Linked DNA regions of Elephas maximus indicus. The protein of the gene in region 2 interacts with the protein of the main gene of each other region in a pairwise test. Links are inferred from orthologs where the notes say so. Each region holds a gene or a part of one and is shown on either strand. Other genes may lie near its edges.

The links.
Region 1: the proteins of EHHADH (region 2) and FUNDC1 interact in binary tests that used the Homo sapiens proteins (3 or more experiments, as listed by UniProt). The two-hybrid records come from large-scale screens. The link is inferred for Elephas maximus indicus from reciprocal best matches to the Homo sapiens genes EHHADH and FUNDC1.
Region 3: the proteins of EHHADH (region 2) and TPP2 interact in binary tests that used the Homo sapiens proteins (3 or more experiments, as listed by UniProt). The two-hybrid records come from large-scale screens. The link is inferred for Elephas maximus indicus from reciprocal best matches to the Homo sapiens genes EHHADH and TPP2.
Region 4: the proteins of EHHADH (region 2) and CAT interact in a two-hybrid assay, tested with the Homo sapiens proteins (2 studies listed by BioGRID, with this or other methods). The link is inferred for Elephas maximus indicus from reciprocal best matches to the Homo sapiens genes EHHADH and CAT.

Annotation. Positions count from the first base shown.
Region 1 is NC_064846.1:128,603,428-128,610,976, reverse strand, and holds the start of FUNDC1 (FUN14 domain-containing protein 1), read right to left. Parts: upstream 3,006-7,549; 5' UTR 2,861-3,005; coding exon 2,833-2,860; intron 2,205-2,832; coding exon 2,048-2,204; intron 1-2,047. UniProt on the Homo sapiens protein: Integral mitochondrial outer-membrane protein that mediates the formation of mitochondria-associated endoplasmic reticulum membranes (MAMs).
Region 2 is NC_064819.1:29,836,560-29,844,488, reverse strand, and holds the start of EHHADH (peroxisomal bifunctional enzyme), read right to left. Parts: upstream 3,014-7,929; 5' UTR 2,956-3,013; coding exon 2,882-2,955; intron 1-2,881. UniProt on the Homo sapiens protein: Peroxisomal trifunctional enzyme possessing 2-enoyl-CoA hydratase, 3-hydroxyacyl-CoA dehydrogenase, and delta 3, delta 2-enoyl-CoA isomerase activities. Catalyzes two of the four reactions of the long chain fatty acids peroxisomal beta-oxidation pathway.
Region 3 is NC_064841.1:67,545,419-67,552,925, reverse strand, and holds the start of TPP2 (tripeptidyl-peptidase 2), read right to left. Parts: upstream 3,010-7,507; 5' UTR 2,919-3,009; coding exon 2,754-2,918; intron 1-2,753. UniProt on the Homo sapiens protein: Cytosolic tripeptidyl-peptidase that releases N-terminal tripeptides from polypeptides and is a component of the proteolytic cascade acting downstream of the 26S proteasome in the ubiquitin-proteasome pathway.
Region 4 is NC_064825.1:89,648,030-89,655,522, reverse strand, and holds the start of CAT (catalase), read right to left. Parts: upstream 3,007-7,493; 5' UTR 2,988-3,006; coding exon 2,922-2,987; intron 1-2,921. UniProt on the Homo sapiens protein: Catalyzes the degradation of hydrogen peroxide (H(2)O(2)) generated by peroxisomal oxidases to water and oxygen, thereby protecting cells from the toxic effects of hydrogen peroxide.

The DNA.
Region 1 (7,549 bases), on a different chromosome or scaffold from region 2:
CTTGCTAATGGATCAGGCATCTATTACCTTGCTTCCAGACCACTCTAACTGGTCTTCCCCTGAGCTCCAGTCTCTCCTAGCAACCACCCATCTTGATGTCAGTTTTATTTTCACTATGCTCCAAAACCTATAGCTACCTACAGCTAAATATAATCTCTTTAGCCTCCCATACATGTCCTGAATTGGTCTGAATTGTTAACTGGTTAGTGCTTATTAACCTTTCCTCTTTAATGTATGACACAAATTATTACATCAGTTTCACTCCCTTAGAAAATTGCAAAAATTTGCTACACTGAATCTATAGTCATTGCAACAAATCATTGTATAATATTAGAGTCCTACTGCACACAGCTCCTGGGCTACCACCTGGCTATAACTCAAATGTATGTATTACTATAAAAAACATATCCCTCAGTAAGGGGGGGCAGCATCAAATGCTCAGAAAAGGAAGAGGAAGAAGCAAACAGCAGCCAGGTCTCCGGTGTCAACGATATCCTGGACAGCATGCTCCACAACCATGTGTATGATGGCATCAGCTGCTAAAATGAACCTACTAACTCCCCCTGCTCTGTCTCTAGGCTCTCCAAGCAAACATCTGCCAATTATGAGGCCTACAAATAGTGATTTGATAATTCTGTTTCTCAATTATTTCTTAGCCTCTTTTTTTAAGATTGGACATTAGGCCCTGACTCACTTTAACCAGTCATCTATGGCACCAAATTGTGAGCTTATATAAAGAGAGGACCAGACCCTAAATTAGGGGATCAAAGTACAACCAGCCTGTGGAGAATTGTTTGAATGACCAAGGCCACGAACAGACATCTCTCTTCTAACTGTGGGCTTTTTTTCATACAGCCGCATTAACAAATACACTTAATAAATACTGCACCTTTCCATTACAGAATCTTCCCATAAAATGGCATTTTTAAAAAGGCATGGAGGAGTGTGCCACTGTTCAAAGTGCATGAAAAACACAAATCAAAAAAAAAGTTATACTTACCAAGTATATTTAAATTAATGCAAGATAAATTTAACTTAGAATCTAAGAAAAAAGCCATTATTTGTAAGTACCCTCACTACAAAAATTCTCTACAGTCATGTACATTTTCAAAATAAAGTGTCAGACTTGTTTCTAATCCATGTTACTTGGCCAATCTTTTATTCCAGGAATAACCAAAGTAGATCCATAGCAGCAATTACGTAATCATGTGGTCCGAAATTGTTAACTGATTAGGCTAATGCCTATTAACTGCTCCCCCTTAACGTACTTCACAATATTAGAAGGGAAGCAGCCAGCCCTTTAATTCCAACACAGAACCACCATTCTACAGCTCCTCTTCAAAGCACTGGTATAATCAGAACCAGCCCACAAAAATGAACAGAACCATCTGTATCATCATCAACCATTCTTAATGAGGATTTTACACAGCTCCCTATAGCACTGACAATCCGGGAGACCAGTTCTACTGTGTGAGTTTCTCACAGGTTGTTCCAGTTGTTACCACTGGGTGACATGTAAAAATTATTTACACATGCCAAACCAAACACCAAACCGTTGCCGTTGAGTCGATTCTGACTCATAGTGACCCTACAGGACAGAGCAGAACTGCTCCACAGGGTTTCCAAGGAGTGGCTGGATTCGAACTGCTGACCTTTTGTTTAGCAGCCTGAACACCTGACCACTGTGCCACCAGGGCTCCATTTACATAAAGTTAACTCTTAAATATTTTTTTCTATTTACTCACTATTACGGAGTCAGATCCACTACATATGCTGAACTTCAGAAAGAGGAATCTATATTAAAAAAATCAAAGGAAGGATGAGGAGGGAATAGTGGTACCCTGGCAGGCATGACGGAGGGGAATTATCAAAACCAACACTGAGTCTGAGCGTAGATTACACCAATCATATCAGAGAAAAGCTTCAAAACTGTGCTATTTTAGGATTAACAGTGTAAACCCACTCAATATGTATTGAGTCTGGCCCACCTACAAAAGGGCAGAGGCCAGGCTCCTAATGAATTTAATGAAAAAGATGTTCTTCTCACCAGCCAGTCACTCCACCCATTACAATCTGAGTGGCTACTGAGTATTTTTCTACCATAGGTCCCGAACTGTGGCCAAACACTCGATTCCACCAGTGGTGTCTTCTTGCGTACTCGGTTAAATCCAACACTTCGTAAGACTCGTCATCACTTTCATACTCTTCAAAATACAAAAACAGAAAAAAATTAATTTAGAGTCAATCTAAAGTCATAAATGTTCCTTCATTTTTTTTTTAATGTTACAATTCACTGTTACTTTTGGCCTACAGGTAAAAACGTCCAGGCGGAAACTGATGAGTGTTATTAGGACTTCAAGAGTAAAAGGGGCTAGAAATAATATGCCCATCTCCTTCCTAAAGGCCCAAGGACCAGCCAGGGGCACGAAGCCAGTCAGATCAGAGTTACACAGCAGTGAGGGGCCACCTACCCAAATCTCAGTAGGGTAAGGAGCAGAGAAAGGTCCATTTTCAGTGAGAAGAGGGGGGTTCTCCTCTCAAAGAATCGGTCAGGAGCCGGAGAGAAGAAATCACTCCAGAGTCAGACTAAAAAACCGTTTGAAGATGAGGGGCCGGGGTTGAAAAGACAGACAAGGGGTGGGGCTACTTTGGGGGCGAGGGTCGCTCTCCCCCAGCGCTCCACCAAGAGGGGAGGACGAAGTCTAGCTCAGAGGGGGTATTAAACGGGCGGCCTCAAAGAAAAAACAGAGCCCCAGAGACCCTGGGGAAGGGGAAGGTAAAGCCGCCCCCGGAGCAAGGTCAGGAGCTGTGAGCCGCGCCCGGACCGCTCACCTTGGGGAGGGGGGTTCCGGGTCGCCATGATTCCGCTGGGGGCCTGTTGAGGGTGGTCCCCGCCCACCCTCCTCTCTTTTACACTTTGAGGGCCGCTCTAGGCCGGTGCGAAAGTCTATGCTCTCTTTCTTCCTCCTCCTTCTCTTCAGGCGCCACGTCCAGTCCCCGCCCCCTCCCCCTCCAGCGCGGGGCCTCCTGCGCAAGCGCAAGTCTCACGGGTCGGGAGGGGAGGGCAGCGAGCAGCCCCCGCGAGGACTTGTGGAAATTGTAGTCCGTTGACGTCTGCACCACTGGCCTCGCCTTCCCACCTCCACCCCTCCGGAATTTCCTTAACCCTAGTTTTGTTTTAAAGAGCCTCAGTGTTTGGGGTGGCGGGGTGGGGAGGTAGGAAGGTCTCTCGTGGTTTAGAGCGCAAAACCAGCTGGGCATTTGAACACTACCAGAATTCAAGCCATTGGGGAAAAGGGCTTTTATAAAGAGATAACAGAAGCCCTGTTTGAAACCACACTTTTCTAAGGAGGCAAGAGCTCACCAACCGATTGAAATTATTTCTAACGTGCTATTGCGGAGAATTGGAACCTTTTTATCCATTTTCTCTGCACGTGTTCCTTGCCAGGCGCTCAAGGGAGGCAGCAGAAGGGCTAGGAAGTGGCCTGACACCAGTTACTCAAGAGGACATAACTTTGTATCATTATGATTTTTTATTATTTAAATCTAACAGGAATGAGGGTCAAGTTTCTTTACCCAGAAGCCCCAAGTGATTCTGTAGAATGAAGAACCACGTTGATCACCAAGCAGCTAACTCAAGTTCACAAATATACCAGCCCCCAAACTTCTTTTGAACTTGCATTACATCCGCATTTGCTGTACGATTAAATGAGGCCCCTCAATATTAGTTTTAATGAAAAATCAAGGAATCCTGATGTAGATTGAATTACTTAAAATATTGACTTGCATAATTGAGCTTGGCTCAATTTCAAATCCTGGCCCTTTAAATGCAAAAGTTAGTTCTGTAATGATCCTAAGCCTGTGGCCTCCAAAATGCAATTCTAAGGCTGTCCGGAGTGGGTGTTCCAAACTCAAAGGCCGGTTTCTTTGTGTAAGACTCCACTTTTCAGAAACAAAGATTTTAGGGGGCATAACTCCACATCTTCTCACTGAAGTGTTTTTCCAAAAGTTACTGATTTTGAGTTCATACGCTCCTTCCTCGCCATTATCCACCCATTCCTGTTAAGGTACTAACAGAGAAATAGCCAAATAATGGGCTACTAAAAGAAGAGTTGGGTGGGTTAAAAGAAGAGAATGGAGAAAAAAGGGAAAGGAGTATCATAAATTGGAAGAGCAAAATGGAGGGTTGACTGAGCCAATGACATCCAAGTGACACTTTCACAATATCTGCCAACTGCAGAAAGAAGTCACTTTCATGTCAAGGAAATGACTTTTAGAGTCAAATGGCTATGGAGAAATAAGGGAGATAATAGAAACAAAATGCTGCTCTTAGGATGCCAAAGAATAAACCTTAAATGTATCCAAAAGTGAATTAAAAATCAATCATTTCTGCAAAGACCTTGATGGCTGAAAAGAAAATTTTTAATATGTTCTTCCCTTCCATCTTTAGTGATACGCCTTTGCCATTGCATTAAGGAAGTTAGTTGTACAGGTAGTCCCCAACTTAAGATGTATTCCAGTTACCACTAATTGCACTTCTGACAGTCCTTTTTTTTTTGTACATCTTATTCTTAGTAATATGTGCTGATGATATCATTCTCAGATGTTCACTCTAAGATGTTCAATTTTATGATTAACTCTTCAAAACACTGCTGTATAGATTTAGTTTTCTAAACTAAATCAGGGGTTTGGGTTGCTTGAAAACATGGACCCAAACGCTGATCACTTTGCTAGAGTCAATAGGCAGATTCAGGAAGCAGTGAGATGTTACCAGGAAATATATGAAGAAAAAAAGAAAAGGACCATACAGACAACTCTTACTAATTTTCTGATTAGAAACACTATCCCAATTCCCAGGGATAATTCAGAAGACACAGAACTTTCCAAAAGTGGAGTTATTACCGCAACTGACAAAATGCCAACATCGTCCAACTCTTCTTCATCTTTGGAGAAAATTTTTATGATTTGTGTATTTTTTATGTATGTGTGTATTAAAATATATCTGTAAGTTTATATGTAATGTTTCCAACCCCCAGAGACAAAGACTGGATTTTTAAAGATACTGATAATAAAAGGCAATAATAATGAAAATTTCAAAAAAAAATGAAGTATTTGACTTACGTCAGAACTGACTCGTGTCAGAACAGAACCCTGTTGTAAATCAAGGACCACCTTATAATGTATTTTTCTAGTGTGGATTTTCTCTTTCCCAACAGCAAAAAAGCTGTCATTTTGTTGTCTGAATGAAGAGTGGTTTAATGTGTACCTAAATTATATACACAGACTTTCCGAAGTGCTGTGATCAACCTGATGTTCTCTAGGGGGTGATGTGTGTTTTTTTTTTTTTTATAATTCCCATTTTATTTATTTATTTATTATTAATTTCCATTTTAAATAGTGTAAATAATTTTTCTTTTCAGTCAACACTAATAAACATTTTCATTATGAGCACTGGTATCATCTACAACTCTACCAAAACATAATTCAGACAGTCCCCAACTTTCCAATGGATAGAGTCCCAAAAGTTTATGAATAACTATTTGAAATTGAGAACATTTACTATTTCATCCATAACGAATCTTTAAAGAAGCTGTTGTCCCCTATTCCATCCTGAGCTTCACCTTTCCTTAACTTCTCATTCCTTGGAAACCTCACTTGTTAAAAACTGTTTAGTCAGAATGGAGAAAAGCAAAAAGTTGCAGAACAAACAGAAGAACACTTCACACTCCCTGAGCAATCTCATGTCCCCCATTGGCTACAACTGTTATTCCCTATTAGATGTCCACATTTCAATGACCTGCAAATTCAAACAACTTCACTCTATCTTTGAAGCTCCCCAAAGGAGAAAAATTAGTCACCTCCTTTTCCCCTCCCTTTTCTCCCACAGTTACACAGTCACTTATCCTATGCTTGCACCACCAAAACTGTGACATCCTTTCTCTCCCTGATGGTCAGCCCACCCGTTGGACCACTGCAATGGCCTCTCAATTGGCTCCTTCCTCCTTTTCTTGCTTCTCCCCACCCCACCCCAATCCAGTCTACTCTTCATCAGAATTTTTCTTCTAAAACCTGCATCTGATCTTGTTCTTTCTCTTCTTGAATACTTGTAAAAGTTGCCCATTGGTTACAACATTAAGCCTAAACTTCTTATGACATACTGCAGAAGTCGGCAAACTACTTCTGTAAAGAGTCGGATAGTAAATATATTTTAGGCTCTGCTGGCCACATAATGGTGTTTGTGGTATAGTCTTCTTTTTCTTTTGTAAACAGTCTTTTAAACCAGGGCTTCGAACCAGTTCAGTCATGGCCAATGAAGCAAAACCGAAACAGAACCAAATTTTTAAAAATCTGGGTGATCCGTAATCATAACCAGAATGGGAAAAATTTTGGATCGAAGCCCTGGAATGGGAGACTCGGAAGAGGTGTAGTGAGCCCTTTCAGGAGCCTGATGTGTGAGATTGGGTTATTGCCAGGACCGAGAAGAGCGACACACATTCAAAGCAGTGAGGTAGGCCACCATCTTTGATTGGGGTACCACTGTTTCCAACTCCGCGCAAAATCCAATAGGCAAGAGATTTGGTTGTTATGCAATGTGTATGCTGCCCTTGTTTTCCAAGAGGGAGATTAACTTTCTAGTAGGGTTTCAACTTGTAATTTTCCCAGCTCCTGTTACGGTTCTGGTTCACTCGAATTTTAAAAAATTTAGGTCTGTTCCAGTGTCATTTCCTCAGTCATGATTGAACCAGGAAGAACCTGTTCAAAGCCCTGCTTTAAACGTGTAAAAACTATTCTTAGCTCATGGGCTAATTTGGCCTGCACATCCTAGTCTACTGACCACTGGCATATAGGACCCTCCACATTTTGGACCCGAGTTACCTCTCTGGCCTCCCAATGCAGCTTGCTCCAAATTTCCTCCTTTTCTAGGTCCACTGAAGAACTAAGTTTTCTGAATACACTTTGCTTTTTCCAACTTCCCTGACTTGGTGCATGCTCTTTCCTCCACCTGAAAGTAATAGCTTCCTTCTCTACTAGGCAAATACTCAAACACCCTTTAAGACACATCTTAAAAGTAACTTCCATACAGTTTTTCTCTACTTCCCCCAAAGACCTCCCTCTCATTATCATCCTTAGTTGAATTTAAAGAAGGCAGTTTGCATTTCAATTAAGCATTTGGATGAACTTTCAGGTCAGCCAGACCTGAGTTCAAATTCCAGCTCTGTCCTTTTGCAGTGCAGTGAATTACTTAATAAGGCCCTTCTAGCCCATAGTCTTTGTAACTTCCACCAAATGACAGGATAAGACTATGCAAATGAGGTGCTTGTAGCCTACCAAGGGGATTCATAGCTGGCTAATAATATAAATGGGTGCACGGCATTCTTGTGGGGGTGGGACCATGTAAATAAGGTGTATGGAACACTGAAAAGGGAATTGGTCAGTTTTGCCATCCCACGAGGCTTAAAGGGAGACATGGGGAGAGAGGGGGGAGCTGTATCATGGAAGACAGTGAGAGACGGCAGCACAGCTGTAGCAAGAGTGATAGTAGTGCAAG
Region 2 (7,929 bases):
GGAAGTGAGAAAAACTAAAATGGCTGTAACTGATACAGCTTTATTGAATTCAAGCCAGCTGGAAGGGACCACAGCCTTGCAGCAATGTAAAGATCCCCAGGGTGAAGGACTCATTTTCTTCCCTCGATCCTGTCAGGTGAAATGGAGTCTGGAGTCACGTGTGCTGTGACCAAAACCCTTTAGCTTCTGTGACCACAGGAGGTCTTTTTTAGATAGTATTTTGTCTTGCTTTTAAACTGAAGGTCACCACATCGAGTCTGTGGCCTGTGACTGGCACTGAAAAAAGAGAGAAAATAGACTAAACTATATCAAACTGTATAATATGGAAGGGTTAGTTTTGTTTCCAGAAACTTTGGTTTTAGCCATGTATTTGTATGTATGCATGGCCTGGGTTGTAATGTAAAACTTGGGTTACTATGCGGGTCAGTCAAAAAAGTGTGCAAGCCATTGCTCTGTGAGACAGTGGTTAAGAGCTATGGCTGCTCCACCAGACTGAGTCCAGTACAACTAGATGGTGCCTGGCTACCACCACTGACTGCTCCGACAGGAACCACAAGAGAGGGTCCCCGACAGAGCTGGAGAAAAATGTAGAACAAAATTCCAACTCAAAAAGAAAAGCCAGACTTGCTGGCCTGACATAGACTGGAGAAACCCTGAGAGTATGGCCCCCGGACACCTTTTCAGCTCAGTAATGCTGCGGTCACTCCCGAGGTTCGTCCTTCAGCCAAAAGATTGGACAGGCCCATGGAACAAAACAAGACTAAAGGGGCGCACCAGCCCTGGGGCAGGAACTAGAAGGCAGGAGGAACAGAAAAGCTGGTAACAGGGAACCCAGGGCTCAGAAGGGAGAGTGTTGACATGTTGTGGGGCTGTTAACCAATGTCATACAACAATGTGTGTACTAATTGTTTGATGAGAAATTAGTTCTATAAACCTTCATCTAAAGTTCAATAAAAAAAGAAAAAGAAAAAGAATGATTGCAATTGGAACAACACCAAAAATAGAGCTACAGCCGCTAAACAAAAGTTGGCAGTTCGAATCCACCAGGCACTCCTTGGAAACTCTATGGGGCAGTTCTGCTTTGTCCTATTGGGTCACTAGGAGCTGGAATTGACTTGATGGGTTTGGTTTTTTTGAGTGTGGTGTGGTTCTCCAGGAGTCCCCGGGTGGTGCAAATGGTTAAAATGTCCAGCTGCTAACTGAAAGGTTGGTTGGAGGCTGGAGTCCACCCAGAGGCATCTCCGAAAAATGGCATAGTGATCTACTTCTGCAAAGTCAGCACAGTTTTACTCTGACACACACAGGGTTGCCGTGAGTCAAAGTCTACTCCACAGTAACTGGTTTGGTTTTTTGCATGGTGCTCTGTTTTCCATCCCCCTGCCAAGGCGTCCTGGGAGCCACATGTTGAGATGGTATCCTCCAAAGATTAAAGTAGCTTGGATTGCTGTGTCACTGCAAGGGGGGCAGCTACCCTGCAAAGTCACCCCAACCAGCCTTTGTAGTGTAAAACCAAAAAAGCCCGTGGCCACAGACTCAGTTCTGACTCATAAGGACCCTACAGGACAGAGCAGAGTTCCCAAGGAGTACCCGGTAGATTCCAACTGCCAACCTTTCGGTTAGCAGCCATAGCTCTTAACCACTATGCCACCAGGGTTTCCCTTGATTGGCACAGTTTCCCATTATGAGCAGAGGTGTGGCAGAGAGTCCTAACGTCTGGTAATTCTAACCAGAACACAGACAAGTCCAAAACTGATACATAATCCTATTACTTGGGGTTTTTTCATCCAAAGCAAGAAACTTGACGTACTGTTCTTTTCAATCAAGCGGACATATTGTCCTTGTGGGAGTGGTTCCTGCGATTTTTTTTTTTTGTATTATTAAATGCAAGCATTCACACTATAATATGAACTATAACAGTAACATTAAAGATGGAATCAAATCTGATAACAGAAGAATAAACAATGCAGTTAAAATTAGCAGGCTTCCTCATTTCAGTCTCTCTTTGCTTCAGTAGTCTACAGTTAAGAATTCTGATCAAAGGCCCTTGTATAACATGATTATTTATGCTAATTTCCTCTAATCCCGCTTCCTGTGGATGGGTGGCTTTTCTTAAGGCTAAAGTGTCACCATACTTTTTTTTTGCAGAGATATGGAAGGACCAAACCTGTACCATAAAGTCATTAATTTTCAAAAAGGCAGCATTACTCTCACTTTTAAAAGTAATTCTGCAAGTGTTCTGCACAAATCTCGGTTAGAGAGTTTAACAAAGAAGTTACCACGTGATGAAATAAAAGGTGATAAACTGCACAGTAGCTTTTCAGAAAATGCCATTTGAGGGTTTATTCTGACATGGACCTTTCACAGAAGCATTAAGGCCCTGTGGTTTGGAGCAGATCAGCTCATGCTCCCTGCCTTCTCATGAACTGGGGCCTTGTGTTGTTGTTAGTTGCCAGTCCAACCCACTCTGACTCAAGGCGACTGTAAACCATTTTATTTTCTGAGTTCTAAAACTCTTAGCTACATGTTTTAAGGGCAGCCTGGATTTCAGGCTGGGGAGTGAGGGTCCAGGGCCCAGGACTGTACTGAACCAAGATCTTTGGAATAGAAACTACTGAAGACCCAAAGCTGTGAGCTAGCAGAAGGGTCTTGCATGAAGTTGGCGTGGACAGAGCCGGTTCGAGTCCCTTTCTCCTACTTAGTAGCTACACCCCTCAGCCTCGGTTTCCTTACCAGTCAAACCGAGATGAGCGTTCTCTGCGAAGAGTCCCCAAACCAACCCCTGTAAAAACGTCCCCGCAGATGCCTGGGGTTCAGTCGGTGTCAGTTTCTGGATTTAAACCAGCACCGAGCGGGGGGCCGGTGAACCTGCCAGGTCTGTTACCTGATGGCGTTGACCGGCGGGTTTCGCAGGCGGATCCGCGCCACGTAGTCCCGCACTCGCGTATACTCGACCATTGCCCCTCTGTCGCCGAGGTCACTTCTGCCTCCGACTGCCGGCCGAAGCCTCTCTCCCCGGGCCGGGCCGCCCTGCGAGGAGGGGCGCCGCTGAGCCAATGAGAGCCGGGCGCCGCCCCCGAGCGCCCGGACCGCCTGCCGGCTGGCCCCGGGCCGGCACCCGGTCTTCCCAGCCCGCCCTCCATTTTCCTGCGGTCCGCGAGGACCCGCGCCGCCCATCCCGGCCCGACTGCACCCGGGCCCGCACCCCATCTTCCCACCCAGCTCGACTGCACCGAGGCCGCACCCCTTCTTCCCTCCTGGCCCGAATGCACCTGGGCCGCACCCTATGTTTCCACCGAGCCCTCTCCATTCCCGGGACCCCACCCTGCGCTCTACAAACACTTGCCATCTCTTCCTCTCTGTGGTTGCCCATCCTGCTCCCATCTTCCTCCCATCACAAAGCAGTCCAAAGGGGGCTGGGGAAAACCGGTGGAATTACAGGGAGTGGAGGTTTGTGACACTCAGAGGGGCTGACTTCGGAGGACAAAGTCTGGGCTCACTAAGCTGGCCAAGCTGTCCTCTGAAGAGTTTTCATGATCCTTCTGAAAGGGGGTAGATATCTGAGGCCCTTGACAATTGTGTGAAATGGCACACACCTGGAACACAAGCATCACAAGTTTGACCTAAGGAGTAGGGTACTAACATCAGCCAAACATTTACCTAAAAATCCTGTTACTAGTCCTAGGTTCACATGGCAATCAGTGAAACCCATGAGTTTGTCTGCCCAATCCTTTGTCTTTTAAAAATTCTGACATTCTGAAGGATTGTGACTTCTAATATTTCACTTATTCAGAAGTTGAACACATACTATAAATGGTTAAGAGCTAGGGCTGCTAACCCAAAGGTCAGCGGTTCCAGTCCACCAGCCCCTCCTTGGATAGTTCTTCTCTGTCCTATAGGGTTGTTATGAGTTGGAATAAACTCAATGACAAAGAGTTTGGTTTTTTTAAGTGTAGGCTGGAGACTGTAAAAATAAACCAGGCTTAGTCCCTTCCCTCCAGAAGTGAGGACCAGGTTTCTCTAAGCATGATTAGCCTCCAGTAGAACCCACCCTCCATGAAGTGATCAGAAGGCAGCCTGAAAGTTTCAGAGGAAAAAAACAGTGGAATAGCTTTGTTCACTGATGTTTCACAAATTTTAACTATGATTAAGGGTTATTTTCATTGCTTTGAACCCTGGTAATAAGTAGCAAAACCCATTCAATAGATCAAGGGCAATTGCCTCAATGAACCCACTTTTGAAAGCCAACCTGTCAATGACAGCCCCTCACTTTCATAGCCAGCCAATCACAAACCATACAATACTCACACTTCCGAGGGCCACCAATCAACAACAGGCTCATTTAAGCAACCAACTTCTACAAGTGATGTCAACCCTAAAAAAAAACCCTAAATGCCTCTGGAAATTCCCCAGTCTCTGAAGTCCATGTTGCCCAAAAGCTGTATGTAAAATCTACAGTCTGTTCTGCTTAGAGAGATTGTACCTAACCAGCATAACGTTCCCCTACTGTGTTGTTGTTTGCAGAAAAGCTGGCCCCAACTCATGGCAACCCCATGCACAATGGTAACAGACCGTTGCGATCCATAGGGTTTTCACTGGCTAATATTCAGGAGCAGATCCCCAGGCCTTTCTTCCTAGCCTTAGTCTGGGAGCTCCACTGAAACCTGTTCAGCATCATAGCAACACACAAGCCTCCACTGACAGAAGGGTGCTGGCTATGCTTGAGAAGCATTGGCTGGGACTCGAACTGGAACCTGGAAGGTGAGAATTCTACCACTGAACCATACTGCCCCCTTTTATTACTAAAAAATTCATTGCTATCAAGTTAATTCTGACTTATAGCAACCCTATAGGGTTTCAAAGGCTGTAAATCTTTACAGAAGCAGACTGCCACATCTTTCTTCTATGAAGCAATTGGTGAGTTTGAACTCTGACCTTTTGGGTAGCAGCAGAGTGCTTAACCATTGTGCCACCAGGGCTCCTTCTATTACTATTACCCATTGCTGTTGAGTCAATTCTAAGTCATAAGTGATCCTACAGGACACAGTAGAACTGCCCCATAGGGTTTCTGAGGAGCAGCTGGTGGATTCGAACCGCTGATCTTTTGGTTATGCAAATCTGTATGCATACTAAAAAGAACAGAGATAACTATCTAATCTTGCTTTTCCCTGCACTGGTGATCTATGAACCTTGAAATGCCGTGTTTGTCATGAAAATTCAGTAGTGGCATGAAGCCATGGAAGCTGACTTCTCTGGTAAACCAGTCAGAAATTTTCTAGAATAAGGACAAGACAATGCTTTCCAGCCTGGGTGATAAAATCTCTTCCATGCTTTCTTCCATGTACTTTCCCATTTCACTCTGGGATATCCACCCACCCACCTGATGCCATGAGTCAATTCTAACTTATAACAACCCTATAGAACAGAGTAGAACTGCCCCATAGGGTTTCCAAGGAACGCCTGGTGGATTCAAACTGCTGACCTCTTGGTTAGCAGTCTGAGCTCTTAACCACTATGCCACCAAGGTTTCTGTCTTAACTAATACACTGAAGAAATGGGCAGTGAGTACAAAATTGTTCTTCCATAGTGAAGTTGGCTGCCATTTGAAGAGGAAAGCTTCTCACATAAGTGTGTGAGATGAGAGATGGGATAAAAATAATTTGTTCACTACACCAGTAATATCAACAATGGTGAGTTCTATAATTTCAAGTGGCTTGCTCAAGTGTTAAACCTTAAACATATGTTATGGATTGAATTGCATTCCCCCAAAATATGTGTCAACTTGGCTAGGGCATGATTCCCAGTATTGTGTGGTTGTCTACCATTTTATGATTTGATGTGATTTTCCTATGTGTTGTAAATCCTATGATGTTAATGAGGCAGGATTAGAGGCAGTCTTGAGTCGATCTCTTTTGAGATATAAAAGAAAGAAGCGAGCAGAGAAGAGAGGGACTTCGTACCACCATGTAAGAAGTGCCAGGAACAGAGTGTGTCCTTTGGACCCAGGGTCCCTGTGCTGAGAGATTCTTAGACCAGGGGAAGATTGATGACAAGGAACTTCCCGCAGAGCTGACAGAGAGAGAAAGCATCCCCCTGGAGTTGGTGCCCTGAATATGGACTTCTAGCCTCCCACACTGTGAGAGAATAAATATCTATTTGTTAAAGCCATCCACTTGTGGTATTTCTGTTGCAGCAGCACTTGATGACTAAGATGGAATTTGGTACCGAGAGTGGGGTGCTGCTCTAACAGATACCTAAAACGTGGAAGTGGTTTTGAAACTGTGAATGGGTAGAGGCTGCAAGAGATCTAAAATGTTTAATAGTAAAAGCCTAGATTGCCTTGAGGAGACTGTTGGTGGAATTATGGACATCAAAGAAAATTCTGGTGAGGACTCAAAAAGAAATGATGAGAGCTGTAACACCAGAGAACTCACAGATGAAGCAGCAGCAGAGAAACAGTGGCAGCACGACCAGGAGACTGGCACGAAACAGCACTGGAGCCAACCCATTCAGTCTGGATTCCTGACCGACTACAATGAGCAGACCCTCTCTGCAGACCCACAGTAGTCTTGTAGCAAGAGCAAGAAATTAATCCAAGTTTTTTTTTTTTTAATTTTTATTGTACTTTAAGTGAAAGTTTACAAATCAAGTCAGTCTCTCACACAAAAACTTATATACAGGGGGCCAAGATGGCTGACTAGGTAGACGCTACCTCAGATCCCTCTTGCAACAAAGACTCGGAAAAACAAGTGAATTGATCACATATATGACAATCTACGAACCCTGACCAACAAACACAGATTTAAAGAGTTGACCTGAGTGACAGAGACTGAGAACGAACAACCACGAGGAAGCAGCGACTGTTTTCGGAGCCTGAAGCCAGCGTCCCAGTCAGGAAACCTTGGCCCTGGGCTTTGGACCAGGCATAGGGGAGCTGAGCATGGCATCCTGAGATGGCACAATCACGGGGTGCAGCCCTAACCCCCTGAACTGACCTCAGGGGAAGCCCAGCCAGTGCACGCAGGCAGCGCAGCAACATGGCTGACAGGAGGAGAAGTCACCGGGAGGCAGTGACTGTTTTTGGAGCCGGGAGTGCGGCATCCCTGCTGGGGAACCTTGGAGCTGGGCTTCGGACTGGGAGCGGAGGAACTAACCGCAGCTTCTGAGACAGCGCAAGCACGGGACGCGGGCCTGACCCTCAGGGGCAATCTCTACCCAGCCAGCGCACACAGTCAAAAACGCACCCCTCAGGAATCTCAGATAAAACAGTCATCCCAAGCAAGATAAGTAACTTTGTCTATATTCCGGGGTGCTACTCTCTCCTATTTTTCTAAACCCTCCCCTCCCCTTCCCAGGCGGCTTCATTAACATTGTAATTTCCTGAGCCAGAGAGTAAACTGCTCTGCGGTTTTTCTTTCTTTCATTTTGTTTTTGTCTTTTCCTAACCCATTCTCCTGGCCTGAGAAAAGCAACTACAAAAAACCCAGGGACCAAAAATCCTTCCCTAATTGGACTAAAAACACAGAACCAGCTCCAGCCAAGCATATGTGATCCACAGGGCTTTCATCCCTACAGGGAACAAGGCAGCTATTATAATGCAAAGGAATTTCTGATAGGGATCTCACTGTAATTGTTTTAGCGGATTTACTGGAAAGACAAGTTTCCCAGGTCTGATATCTCTGCATATTCAACAGAGCCCTCACTGACCCACAACAGGGAACTGAGGGCTGAAGCTCCCCCCAGACAACTTAGCCTCCTGCCTTAGGGGTCTAAGGAGGGTGACACCTACCAGTCTGTAGAGGTACTTGCATTGGGGGCCTAAGGTACAGCTGCAGAGCCAACCCACCAAGGTGCTTTAGGAATAGAGACACGCCTACCTTACTGACACTTGGGGGAAGCCTGTCAGCATCCTGCCCCCCCGGAGTGTGAACC
Region 3 (7,507 bases), on a different chromosome or scaffold from region 2:
TATCTGCTTTTGATTTAAACAAGGGTATAATACTAAGCTTTTTTTTTTTTTTTTAAAGGAAAATAACTCCAGCAATGTGAAAGATGGTTCAAAGAGAAGAAAGACTGGTGGCAGGGAGACCAGCTGGATATTTCATACATATTTCTAAATCCAGTCCAAGACCCACCTAGTCCTGATTATCCAGCTCTCAATGGCCCCCTCCTTTTCAACCTCCAAAACAACCACAGGTTGCAGGACTAATCATTTAACACAACGTTAGGCACCTCAAAGGTGCCTGAATATCTGCTGAGGAAGTATTTAATTATTTATGTAACTATTGCTTCCTCACACCATCTACCTTCCACTTTCCACATGTCCAGTCAGCTGTCACAAAACAGAACTGGGTCCAAGACAGTCACCAAACAAGGAGACACCTCACCGTGTCCCTGGAAGTTTTCACTTGTGCCTCCCTCCACTCCTGCACTCATACCCCATGTCTTTCCAAATGTCCACTTCAGCCTCCTCTTACTCCTATTTCATTCCTTCCCTCCTTATTTCTATCCGTCTTATCTTAATGATGTATACAGAAACCTACAAAATAAATCTGTTATAAGTAAAGAATCTTAAAAATTTACCTATTTACAAGCCACCTTACTGAATTTCTTTTCATTGGCCATGTTTAAGGTCAGGATCTAAAAGTTAAAGTTCTTCGAACACTTATGTTTTCCTTTGATTTAAATATTGCTCAAGCGTTTATGTTAATATATGCAAATACACATTTAACCTTTGGATAATGGATGATTAAAGATCCAGTACAAACTCCTAGTAAACATCACTGCTTAAAAAATTAGTTTAACGTTTTTCTTGAGCACTTAAAGAAGTCACATATAATTAATCCTCCCTTAAAATTAATTTTCATAGCAAATCTGTAGGGTGAGAATTATTGTTACTTTACCAGGCCTAACAGAATAACTCGATAAGCAGATCTGGGAAATTTTACCAAGAAATTTCTACTACGACAGTACTTCTCTAAACTTCTCAGGTCCTCTTATTATACTGACAAAGGAACCTGTGAACCACTTACCCAGCTGTTCTCCCACTTATCCCTATAAAAAGTAAACAGACACCACAACAGAATAGAAACTGTTACTACTCGTAATAAAGCTTCAACGAGGTGATAGCTGTCACTGTTTTAAATCGTAAAGAGTTATTAATACAACACAGATACTGTAGTTACAGGAGGGAATTCGTCATCTGCTCCTCTTCTGACTCACCAAAGCTGCCCAGCAGTGCCAACAGGAGTTTGTGGTACTCCAGAGCGCGGCTTGAGAATTACCCTGGGGAAGCAAGGCTCCCAGAGAACTCCTCTACCGAGGTCAGCCTAGCTTCCCTTTTTCGCCAAATTACTTCCGAACCTCCAAAATACTACAGCAATTACCAGAGAGGACAACGAAGGATCCAGAAAGGGAAGGAGGAAGGCACGTTACTGAACTTCAGAGTTTAGCGTAGAAAGAGAGGTGTGTGAGAGATAGAGGAAGAAGATCAACACGCAGGAGGATTAGCCAGGGAAAGCTTTTGGGAGACAGGCCTTGGACAATGGTTAACATTCTGTTCCTTAAAGAAATTTCGGTAAAAGTCTAAGTTCACAAAAATCAAACTTAAAAGACTTGAAGCAGAAATCTCTCAGCCAAGTGATGTATTTTTAAAAATTACCTTTCGCTACGGTACCTTGATCTAAAATACTTAAAAGTTGCCTAAGACAAAATTAAGTGGTAATTAGAAAAATAAATGAAGTACGTCACTTTATGTTTTGACATTAAGAAAATACCGCAGCATAATTTAATAAAGCCTGAAAAGCTGGCTAAAAACAAACTGATTTTATTTGTCTCATGCAAAAACAAAGGCTGAGCCACGGCATTCAACGACCCTAAACAAGCACACTGCAGATGATGGCTTAAAAATAGAAAGCGTAAAAGGAGCAGAGGAAACAATTCCGGAAGTTGACAGAGTTATCTTCTCGGAAACCCGGCTCTCGTGTTTAAAGGCAAACAATTCTTTCCCGAACCGGATCTCTGCAGCCACAGCCACGAAAATTAAGTTCGGAGAGGTCGCCTGTCCCACCTCTGTTTTCTCGTCACCCAACAATAAGGCGTTGAAATGACAGGTTGGGAACTCGCAGGAGCCGGGAGACGCGCAGAGCGAGGCAGGCGGCGGGGGTGGCCGGGCGCCCGAGGCTCCGGCCTGGCGAACGGGCTTCTCGGCGGCGACGCTGGAGCCCGGCTCCCCGGACCTGCCAGGCCGGGCGCGCGGCTTTGTCTGGGCCGAGGACGCGGCCCGCCCGGCTCCGGGCTCCCAGGTCCGGGCTCCGGGCTCCGAGGTCCGGGCTCCGGGCTCCCAGGTCCGGGCTCCGGGCTCCGAGGTCCGGGCTCCCGGCTCTGGGCTCACGAGTTCCGGGCTCCGAGGTCCGGGCTCCGGGCTCAGGAGGTCCGGGCTCCGGGCTCCGGGCTCACGAGTTCCGGGCTCCGGGCCCCGGGCCCCTCGCCCACGCCGCCCCGGGCGCCTCCGGGTCCCCGTGACCGGCGCAGGGCCGCCCCAGGCTGGGACGTGCGCCCGGCTCCTCGTCAGCCTCCGCCTCCTGCCGGGCTCTCGGCGCTGCCGGCCGCGGGGCTGGCTCGGCCGCAGGGCGGGGCTTCGGGCTGCCGGGCGGGACCTCGGGCTGCCGGGCTCCCCCAGGCTGCGTCCGCTCCCGTCCCGGGCCCCGAGGGCTGCCTCACCTGCATGCCGGGGGCTCCGGGGTCGACCCCCGTGTCCAGGACGGCGACGAGCACGCCCCGCCCGTCATAGTCCGGGTAGCGGCAGAGGAAGGAGGCGGCCCCGGTCTCCTTCTTCGGCAGGAGACCGTGGAAAGGGAAGGGCTCCTCGGCGGCGGCGGTGGCCATGGGCGCAGGCTGGAGGGCGAGGAAGAGGCAAACTGCCAGGCTGCGCGCGGAAGAGCAGCGCGAGGACACCCGGGCGGCCGCCGAGACGGAGGCGGGGCGAGGGGCGGGGCCTGCCGCCTTCCGCCAATCCCGTTCCGTCAGGCGGGGTCGCGCGCGACAACCAATGAAAGCACGGAAGCCAGGTCGGCAGGCCAATGAAGCAATGCTACGTCAACCAACAGCGCCGGCCTCAGGCGCTGGTTTGGAGTGTCGCCCAGCTGCAGTGGAAGAGGAGGAGTCTGAGTACGTTTCTTGAGGCTTCAGTTTTCGAACCCGGGCTTTTAAAGAGATCCACACTTTGGGTTGTAGGAAAGGGCAGGCTTCCAAGCAAAAGGGCTTTGAGGTACGCGGAGGGAAAGGGGCAGCCAGCCAGAGGTGGCGGAACCCTTTTGCCCGGCAAGCGCTGGTTTCCAGAGTTGAGGTTGCGGGAGAAACTTTTCGGTGCAAGTGGTTTTCAGGAGCCAGAGCTCCTGGTGTGCTGACCAGAAGGAATGGAACCTCCTCGCGCACCTGTAAGCCCTGGGAGCCTTCGGGTATCGGTGCAATCCCCGAACATGAGTTTTTGAGTTTTCTCTGATTCACTTGTGTAGGTTTTGTTCCTCTGCCTTGTGTGTGCCCCCTGTGAAAGCAGGGGGAGAACCGGGGTGGGGATGGCAATAGTGTCAGTCAACAGGAAGTGGGTTGTTTGCCATCGGTAGACGTACCAGTAACAAAGCACGAGACTGAAGTGGGCTCCTCCTAGCCCCTTGGCTTCCGAGATTTCTGAAAAGCTTTTTTCTTATTTTACGTTCCAACTCATTGCTCCTTAGGGCTATCCACTCACTCTGCATCCCAGCCCCACGAATTATGAAGGCAATTATCGAGCCATAATTTGCAGTCTTCAAGATTCACACTGACAGCCACCAAGTGCTTTCTGCTGCACTAATGGCCCTTTAATGATATTTATGCCTGTGTTCATGCCGGAGTTCTTAGCCCTTTTTTTGTGTGTGTGCCAGAGATGCCTTTGGCAATTTGGTGAGCCCTGGTGGCTCAGTGATTAAGAGCTCGGCTGCTTACCAAAAGGTCAGCAGTTGGAATCCAGCTGCTCCTTGAAACTCTGGGGGGGGAGGGGGGAGGGCGGTTCTGCTCTGTCCTAGGGGTCTCTGTGAGTCGGGATCGGTTTGATGGTAAGGGTTTTTTTTTTTTTTTTTTTAACCGACCCCTCCTCAGAGCAATGTTTTTAAATGCATGAAAAGTATATAGGACTACAAAGGAACTAAATTGCGTTCACATAACTTGGTTATGTAGTAATAGTGTGTGTTCATAGTTATATGTGTACTTTTTGCATTACATAAAAAGAGCTAGCAGCAAGCCTAATAAACTACCATAATTTTAAAGTAGTGAAGAGCATAAATGATATTTTCACACATCTAGAACAGCTGTAATGAGATAACAAACTGATTTGGTGACAGAGTAACAGCGACTGCTAGTTTTTACCTACATCCAGAATCGAAGGAAATGCGAAATTAAAAACCAGACCCTTTGCGTAGAAGTCATTCTGACTCATGGCAATTCCACGTGAGTTTCAGAGTAAAGCTGCACTTCATAGGGTTTTCAATGCCTGTAATCTTATGGAGGGAGTCCCCGGGTGTGGCACACCCACTAAGCCCTGGGCTGCTAACCTTTGGTTGGCAGTTCCAATGCACTCAGAGGCGTGTAGGAAGATAGGCCTGGTGATCTACTGCCTAATGATAGATCACCACCACTGACAATCCTGTGCAGAGCAATTCTACTCTGACATACATGGGATCGTCATGAGTCAGAAGCAGGGAATTGACTCTGGCAACTGGTTTGGTCTTTTTGGTTTACATTACAGAAGTAGATTGCCAGTCTTTTCCTACACAGAGCTGGTGGGTGGATTTGGGTAGATCTCTGGGCCTTTCTTCCTCAGAGCTGGTGGGTGGATTTGGGTAGATCTCTGGGCCTTTCTTCCCCAGAGCAGCTGGGTGGATTTCAATGGTCAAACTTTTGGTTAGTAGCTGAGAGCAAGCTCCGCTCAGGTACTTTAAAAATTTAATTAACAGATGAGTGAAAATAAAGACATTTTTTTCTACACAAGTTTTTGGACCCGTTGAATTCTGTCCATAGATCTCAGATTAATAATGCGTGGTGTAAACATAAGCCCGCTGTATACCAGTTTTCTCTCCACAGGATTTATAAGAGCCTCCATAAAGTCTCAAAAATCACTCTAGTGGCCATGCAAGGGTTTTCAATTAATTACTTGATTGTTCATTCCTTAGTGTTAGAAAAGCATTTTCTCTTTAGTGGCGAGCAAAAGTAAAAAAAGTTAAATGTTTTCTTTTCTACTCCCGACTGTGTTTATGTTACCTGCAGGGAAAAAACTTCCAAGTACTTTAACAAGAAGGAAAAGATAATGACAAACGCCCTCAGTGCATTCTTATATAGAGCTTATATGACACAATGGAATAGCTCCCAGTTTCCAATGAACCCAAGTCCAATCACTTCGTTTTACAGGTATGGAAACAAAGCCAGACAGGTTCACTGGTTGCCATGGGTTACAAAACATGTTACTGAAAAAGCTAGATTTCTGATCTCATAATCTGTCCAGAATATTCTATAATACCACACACACTGTACTGTGCTCACCTGCCAGGATTGTCACCCAGTGAATGAATGGGAATGAACTGTTCATTCTCAGACCAAAGAGGCAGACTTATAACTAGACTCCTGTAAGTGTTCTTCAATTTTTTTTATATTTACATACCCCATAAAAATGTGGAAAATCATGTACCATCATGTATTTTTTCTCTTTTTAAGAATTTTATTGTGAAAGTACGCCATCTCAATTTCTACATGTATAATTCAGTGACATTGATTATGTTCTTCAACTTGTGTAACCATTCTCGTTATCCATTTCCAAATCATTCTACCACCATTAACAGAAACTCAGTGCTTCCAAAACAAAAATTCGTCCTTTCCCCCTCTCTTCCACCCCTGGTAACCACTAATAATCATCAGTTTCTATATATTTGCTTATTTCATATAAGTGAGATCATACTGTCAGTATTTGTCCTTTTGTGACTGACCTGTTTCCCTCAGCAGGGTGTTTTCGAGGTTCACCCATGTAACGGTGTGTATCAAGACTTGATTTCTCTTTATGGCTGAGGAGTATTCCGTTGTCTGTATATGCCACATTTTGTTTATCCACTCATCTGTATACGTTTCAGTTGTTCCACCTTTTGGCTCTTGTAGAAAGTGCTACAATGAACGTTGGTGTACAGGTTTCTATTTCCATTCCTGCCTTCACTTCTTCAGGACATATACCTAGGAATGGGATTACTGGGTCACATGGTAATTCAATGGTCAAATTTTTGAGGAATGGCCAATCAGTTTTCCACAGTGGCAGTACCGTTTTACATTCCTACCAGCAATGGCTGAGGATTACAGTTTCTCCACAACCTTGCCAATACCTATTGTTTTCTGGGTTTTTTTGATCATTGCCATTCCAGTAGGAGTGAAGTGGTATTTCGCAGTAGTTTTGATTTGCATCTCTCTAGTTGCTCCAGGGTCACTGTGAGTCAAAACTGACTCCATAGCTGTGGGTTTGATAGTAGCTAATGACACTGATCACCTTTTCATGTGCTTGTTGGCCGTTTGAATATCCACTTCGATGAAATGTTTGCTCAATTCCTTTTCCTGTTTTTTGATTGGGTTATTTGTCTTTTCATAGTTAAGTCGTTGATTTTTTAAAATATATTTTGGATATGAGACCCTTATTGGGTATATGGTTACTGAAAATCTTCTCCCAGTCTGCCCCCCCGCAAAAAAACTATTGAGTCAATTCCGACTGATAGTGACCCGATACGAGTGGCTTTTGGTTAACAGCTGAATGCTTTAACCACTGTGCCACCAGGGCTCCCAGCCTGTAGGGTACTCCCTTTTTAAGAAGACATTTGCAATTTGTCATCATAAGTTTAAGAAATTGTAAAGAATTTCTGGCATAGTAAAATATTGACATTTTTAAAAAACTCATTTAAACGTATCCAGTTTAATGTAACTATCAACAATACCCATAGCTCTTTGATACCCTACCATCTTCTATTTGAAAAACGCTGAACATGTTGCAGTTTAAAATCATCAGACATTTTATATCACTATTTCTGCTTGAAACTTTATTTCCACTCAGTCGCCCACAAAATTTTATTGTAATATAATTTACATTTATGATTGAAAATATTATTGGTAATTTTATCATTTTGTGCAACCAAAAATTTGTATATTAGTGTTTGATTTTAACCTTTTTTCTGAGATCAAAAGTGTTAAAAATTTTGGATTACATTATCCTTTAATTTTTAAAAAGTTGATCAAAACTTATAGAACCAAAAGTAAAAGTTTGTTGAAAATGTAGACTTTAAAGAGATGGTTGAGATTGATTACTGGGTTTTGATTAAAAAAAGTTTTACTGACAGAATTTCAAATCAGCCCTTTATTTGGTTCACAGAGCCTATTATGTCTGTAAGCAGCATACACTGGTAAAATTTAGGTTGACT
Region 4 (7,493 bases), on a different chromosome or scaffold from region 2:
ACTTTATTCATAATAGCCAAAAACAGGATCTAGCCCAGATGTCCAGTAAGAGGATAAACAAATGGTGATACACTCATGCCAAAGAATGAAACTCATCAATAAAAGAAAAAACTGCTGATACATGCAATAACATGAATGAATCATAAAAACATTTTTGTTGAAAGAAGCCTTATTAAAAAAGTATATAAATTAATGTTTAAAAGAAAAAATCAAAACAATGGTTTCTTGGGGTAAGGTTGCAGGGAATGACTGGGAAACACCATAAGAGAACTTCCTAGGGTGCTGATTTTGCTCTACTTCTCGACAGGGGTTTCGGATTCATAGGTGTATGTATCTGTCAAAACTCATAGAATGGCCGGAACAACCAGAACACAATTAATGAGAATGCTGACACATTGTGGAAAATGTAAATAGTGTCACTCAACAGCTTGTACCGAAAATTATCACATGGAACCTAATCTGCTGTGTAAACTTTCATCAAAAACACAGTATTATTTTTTAAAAAAATCATATAATGATAAATTTAAGATCTGTGCATTTCATTGTATGTAAATATTATCTAAAAAATGTTAAACTCTGTTAATAATACTATGCGTAGTGTTTAAGGGTGATGTATACTGGTGTCCACAATTAACTCTGAAATGTAACCCAAAAATAAATAAAATGGATTAATGGATACATGAAGGGATGGACAGATGGAATAACATGTGATAAAACACACAGCTAAGTGGTAACTGTAGAATCTAGATGGTAGATATATGGGTAGTCATTGCAGAATTCTTTCGACTTTTCTGAAAGTTTGAAATTTTTCATAATAAAGCATTGAAAATTATACAGACTGTATGACATATGCAAAACCCCCTTTGGAGGGTCCTGGGGGATGACCTAAAAGAGGTGAGCAGTTACCAGTCACAGTAGCTAAAACTGAGGAACGATGAGACATCAATGTGACTATGAATCAAGACCAATGTGCATAGGGCACTGACATGCCGTGGGCAGAGGCAACAGCAGGAATTTCAACTGAGTCCCGCCCACACCCCCCAAATCATAAAGGCAGATGCTTCAAATTATAGATTTTGCCTCATAAGTCAATTCTTTCTCATGTGGGCCACTATGTACAATAAATTAACAGCAGAAAAGAAATTAAGAAACCAGTTGCCATCGAGTCAATTCTGACTCATAATGACCCCATGTTTGCCAGAGTAGAACTGTGCTCCATAGGGTTTTCAAGGCTGTGACCTTACGGAAACAGATTGCCAGGCCTTTTCTTCCAAGGCCTGGCCCACCAGTCTTTCTGTTAGCAGTCCTGAGCTTAATCATGCAGGGACTCCAGTAGAGTCTTAATGATTTAACAACAGATAATGATTCTCCCGTATCCCTGGTGGTGCAGTGGTTAAGAGCTTGGCTGCTAACCAAACGGTCAGCAGTTCAAATTCACCAGCCACTACTTGGAAGCCCTATGAGGCAGTTCTACTCTGTCCGATAGGGTCACTATGAGTCGGAATCAATTCCATGGCAACAAGTTTGGTTTAATGATTCTCCCAATCAATGAAGAGGCAAGCTAGTCTCAGAATAATGGGGAATCCTTTTAAATAAATAAATTTTATCTTATGAAAAACTCGCTACATTGTCCATGTTTTTCTCAATTCATCAAGTATTCATAAAAACATCAGTATGAACCACTGAGTATGGAAAGGAAACCCTGATTGCCTAGTGGTTAAGAGCTATGGCTGCTGACCAAAAGGTCGGCAGTGCCAATCCACCAGGTGCTTCTTGGGAACTCTATGGTGCAGTTCTACTCTGCCCTATAGGGTCGCAATGAGTCAGAATCAACTCAACGGCAATGGGTTTGGTTTTTTTGGTCTGAGTATGTAAAGGGTCCTGGCCCCCAAGAAGCTGAGTTCTAATCTTGACTCTGCCATTAACTGCTGTGTATCCTTGATTAAGACACTGCATCTCTCTGGTTCGCTTTGATTAAAAGCTGCATGACAAACTGAAATATCCTAGAAAAAAAAAAATCCTAGAGGCATATAGAAAAGGACAGGCAAGCAAGGAGAGGTTTTCAAGGACCTTAGAGAAGAATGGCAGTACTCTCAAAGAGAACCATTAAAGCAATTGATGAGCACTGTAGCATTAATACCCAGTGCACAAGCACAAGCACTACTAGTCACTGGAAGGAGCGGTGGTGTCACACTGGTAAACCGCTTGGCTGCTAACCGATAGATCGGTGGTTGAAACCCACACTCCACGGGAGAAGGATGCCCGAAGTTTGCTTCTGACAGCCTTGGAAACCCCATGGGGCAGTTCTATTCTGTCCTACAGGGTCGCTATGAGTCGGAATGAACTTGACGATAATGGGTAGGAGTCCCTGGGTAGCACAAAAGCTTAAGCGCTCGACTACTACTGGAAAAGTTGGCTGTTTGAACCCACGCAGTGGCACCAGGTGGATTCGAACTGCCTACCTTTTGGATGGCAGCCGAACTCTTAACCACTACGCCTCCAGGGTTTCGGAGAAAGCTTTGGGAAGGTGGAAGTTGGAGCTTCCCACTACTCTTTCCCACCAGTCTCTCACCCCACACTTCCTTTCTTGCAGCTGCAGCCCTCTATCTCTTTCCCCCGGGGCCTTCTTTCCTCCCTCAAGCTGTGACCTCTGTCCCAGTTGGCAACCGTGCAAAACCCGCCGCCAATTGCCGAAGGCAAAAGCTGAGGGTTTGCAAGCATTATTGGGAGCCCGCTTGCCCTTGCCCCAGCACCCTCTCCCCAGCTCCCCCGCCAATGTAACAGCCCATCTGGACAAACACTGCCCGGCTCCCCTCCCCCGGTCCCGTGACCAATGGTACGGCCCTCCCGGGCGCCTCTGCACGGTGGAAGCTGGGGCCCTTATTCGCAGACCCTCAACTTTGGTGAGGCACGGGGTTTACCTGCGTGGAACGCTCCTCCTTCCAGCGCTTCATCTGGTCGCTGGCTGGGTCCCGGCTGTCCGCCATGGTGTCCGAGTTGGGTTGCAGAACCTTGCAGGCTGCCTCAGGTCAGACGTCTTCACCCTAAACAGGCGAATGTGACAACACACCGCAGGCCCTGCCAGTCAGCACCGCCCCTCGTCGGAAAGGCTGCCTCCTGATTGGACAGTCAGTGCTAGACGGCATACGATTGGATGGCCGGTAGGGGCGAGTGTGAGCGTGGGGGGTCGAAGAGGAAGGCTGGCTGGGCAAGGAAGGCGAGGACCTGAGCACTGGGAGACACTGGGCAAGGGGGTGAAGTAGACAAGGAAGGGGAGGCCCGCCACTCCCGAGCACGGCCCTAAGAGCGGAGCCCCAGACCTCCGGGATTACCGAACCAGGGAGCGGCCCCGCGGCCTGGGACCTGACACTCGCCCCTGGTTATCAGCATCCTCCAGGGTGCCTTTGGAGGGACGCTGCAGTTGGTGGCCTGCCAGTTTTGCTGAGGTAATGCTTAGACCCTGCAGGGTGAGGCTTTGGACTCGGCAATTATGCCTTCAGTTTTTAAAAATCATAAAGCCTGGATTGAATTCATCTGCGCAGAATTAAGTTTGTCATACCTGAAATGTTGATGGGATTTGGAATAAATGCAAAGAGTGATTCCACAATTCAATATAACCAGTAATCTTAAGCTCAAATTTACATTTTTTATTCTTTATTAGGCCATCAAGTCGATTTCTACCCATGGGGACCCCAAGTGTTATAGAGTAGAACTGCTCCGTAGGGTTTTCCAGGCTGTGACTTTGAAACAGATGGGCAGGCCTCTCTTCCCAGGTGCCTCTGGGTGGGTAAAACCAACAATGTTTAGGCTAGTAGCCAAGCACTTAACTGTTTGCACCACCCAGGGACTCCATATGTATAGAAAAACATGCCTTTTTAAAACATACAGAAAAAATGAAACATTGACAAGTTCTTGATAATCTTAATAGTCTAAAATCCATAGTAAGCAAGTTCAGCATTTTTAGGCACCCTTTTGGCTTAGCAGTCCCCTTTTTTTGAGTGTCAGTTATGTGCTAGATAGTTCCCAGGCTGTATAATTTAATCCTCACCACTCCATGATGAAAGTTTTGTTATCCCTTATTTTAAAGATGAAGAATCTGAATATTAAGAGAGGTGGAGGAACTTAAAATCTAGCTAAATGTCAGAGCCTGGATCTCTGGTCTTCTGATTTCAAAGTCTGGGTCCTATACCACTATCAATCCAGCCCTTCTAAGAGGAATAACCTATTCGAAATTGAGGAAGACACCTTCTGTGCAACGGATTTTATGTTCCTGGCTACATGATATGTTGACACTGTCTTGGAACCATTTTATTATTAAGTAGATAGCACAAATATCCTTATCACTGCCTCTGACTTTTACCTTATCCCGGAGCCTCACCCTATCACTGGTCCTTAGAGGTTGAGAATATGCTGGGAATGGACTGAGGGAGGCTTCAGAATGGGTTGGGTCAGTGATATTGGATTACATATATATTCTCATAATAAAATAGCAGTGTATTTTGCATCTTGCCATGAATGAGTATCAAAGCATCTTATGTGGGATACATGTACATGATTCCTAAAATTTATTTTTGCTCCCAAGCTAAACCCTGTCTCTGTTGCGTGTTTCACCTTTCCCACTGTCCTGGTCACTGCAATCCCTCCAGATGTTTGAATGCTAAATCTTCCCTTTCATTTACTTTCCAGTAACAAGGACACAATTTCTCTAGCCTTTCTATCTCTACCCATATTATTTTAGCTTAGGAGAGGTTAGGACATGGTAATTATGTTCCCCTTCTGATTCCTCCACTTCCTAGCTGTGTGACCTTGGGTAAATTACTTAGCCTCTCTGTACCTCAGTTTCTCTTTATATAAAATTGAGGTAATAACAATACCTCACGGAGTGTCGTGAATATTAATTAGAATATATATGGGTTTTACACCTGGCACATAAAAAGTAATATAGTTATACAAGAGTATGACTATCATTGTCTGAGGTGAACATCTCCTACCTGCTATTCTACTTCTCAGCCCACATGGTTTTTTTCTCTCTGTTTCACCTCTTTATATTCTGCATCGAAACCCCTACTCTTCTAAAGAGTTCCCTGACATCCTTTTTCAGTGAACCCTGTGGAACCCTGAATCCGTTTTAAAAGCCTTTTTCCTGTTGCATTTTTATCTTACACATTTTTTTTCCTCTGTCAACTCTTATTCATGAACTGTCTTCACTCATGAGGCTAGTATTTAATATAAAAACACTCTGCAATTTTATCAGTACAGATGGGTATTGATTTCCTGCTTCACCAGAGAAAAACAACTTAGAGGGTGAGCATGTGACTGGAAAAATATATTCGACTCTGCATATTATGTCAAATTGACTTCTTTAAAAACTGCGGTAATAAATTTCAGCCCCCAAATAAATAAGATTTTGAAAAATCTGTCCTTTAAAAAGCCATGTTAAAAAGTAAAATATTTAATAAAATATGTAGTAAATTACTCATCAGTTTATTGTAGTAAACAAACAGATTGAATGATCCCCCCCATGCTAGAATTTATCTTTAAAAACCTTGATATCTATAAATGTATCATCATCTTCAAATTAAAAGTTCTCAGCTTTTGAGGTTTGAGGTTTTCAGTAAAACTATGTATAATGGATGGATATAGGGTAGTGGAAATTTCAGATGTTCTAAAGTCATCAGAGTTTAACTTTGGCAGTTCATTGGGAAAACAGCCCACACATTCCTCTTTAACATCCTGTGTTTTTCCTTCAGGACACATAACACAATTATAAAGATGCCATTAGCTGTGTGATTTGTTTGATGCCTTTCAATACCTACCCCATCCACACGACCACTAGACTGTGTTTGATTTGTTTGCAACTGTACTATTCCACACCTAGAAATTACTGAGCACTTAGTATCATCAGGGACTGTTATAAACCCTTTGTGTGTATTTACGTAGTTAATCCTTCCAGCAACCCTGTTAGTTAGGTAATGTTTTTGTCCTCATTTCACAGAACAGGAAAATGAGGTGTGGAGAGGTTAAATTAAGAGATAATGCCAGGATTCTAGCCCTGTCGGATCATCTCCAGAGCCCGTGATTTGTTGAGTGAATGTTGAAAGAACAAAACAAATTATTTTCTTCACTAAAGTAAGTATCACTGGAGTAAATAAAGAGATCTAAAGTCATGTGTTGACCTTTGTTCTTTATATAAACCTTGTTTTGTGGTTTTTTTGCTATTTCTGTTGCTGTTTGTCTTAGTTATCTAGTGCTGCTGAAACAGAAATGCCACAACTGGATGGCTTTAACAAACCAACGTTTATTCTGTTACAGTTTAGGAGGCTGGAAGTTCAAATTCAGGGCACCAGCTCCAGGGGAAGCCTTTCTCTGTTGGTTCTGGGGGGAAGGCTTTGTCATCAGTCTTCCCCTGGTCTAGGAGCTTCTCAGCTCAGGGACCTTGGGTTCAAAGGATGCATGCACTCTTGGCTCTTCTTGCTTGATGGTAATGAGGTCCCTCTCTGAGATTCTTTCTTTTATATCTCAAAAGAGATGGACTCAAAGTACAGCTAATCCTGTAGATTACATCCTGCCTCATTAACATAACTGCCTCTAATCCTGCCTCAGTAACATCATAGGGAATTTACAACACATAGGATAAATATATCAGATCCCAAAATGGAGGACTACCACACAATACTGGGAATCATGACCTATCCATGAAGAAACACATTTTGGGGGATACAGTTCAATCCATAACACTGTTGGTTTGAATTTCTAAGGACTTGTTTCAGGTGAAAAAGAAATGAAGAAACAAGACTAGTTTGGGATCCTATCTTGTGTATTAAATTAAGGTGTGTGCTTACAAGTAACAGCAATGAATTTATATTGGCTACGTAAAAAAAAAAAAAAATTTTTTTTTTTTTACATAAGTAGAATTCTATTCATTGACTCTCTAACTATAATTATAGTTTAAATGAAAACACTTTTGAAAACCAGCCCTAGTCTAAAAATACTTGAAACCAAATCTATTTGATTCCTAAAGATAATTCCAAGTGATTTGTTCAGTAAACAAATTTAGTCCCAGGTATTCATACTTTATACATGTAAGCACATGAGTATTTTTGTTGGTATTGCAAAATTCTTATTTAGAAAATGCTGTGCTTTGTTCAGAACCCAGCAAGATAAAATGTACCAGCATAAAACAAAATGTTATTAATCCTGATATCACCAAATCTGAAACCAAACTTACAAAGTAAACCGTATAGTAAGTGTTCAAGAGAGAAGCTTGATCATTCAGCTAGGATCTTTAAAGACAAATTGTCTTTCATCTGTAATTAGAGGAAAAGAATAGAGTGGATGAACTATATGTCTTTTGTTGCATTACAAGTATACAAAGCACCACAAGGAGTAACAGAAACCAATATAATTATTCATTTATGTTCTGATTCCCCCCACCATTTGAGAGGCTGAGAGTGTTATACATATTTCAATTTAATTTTCTTAACAATGGTCTT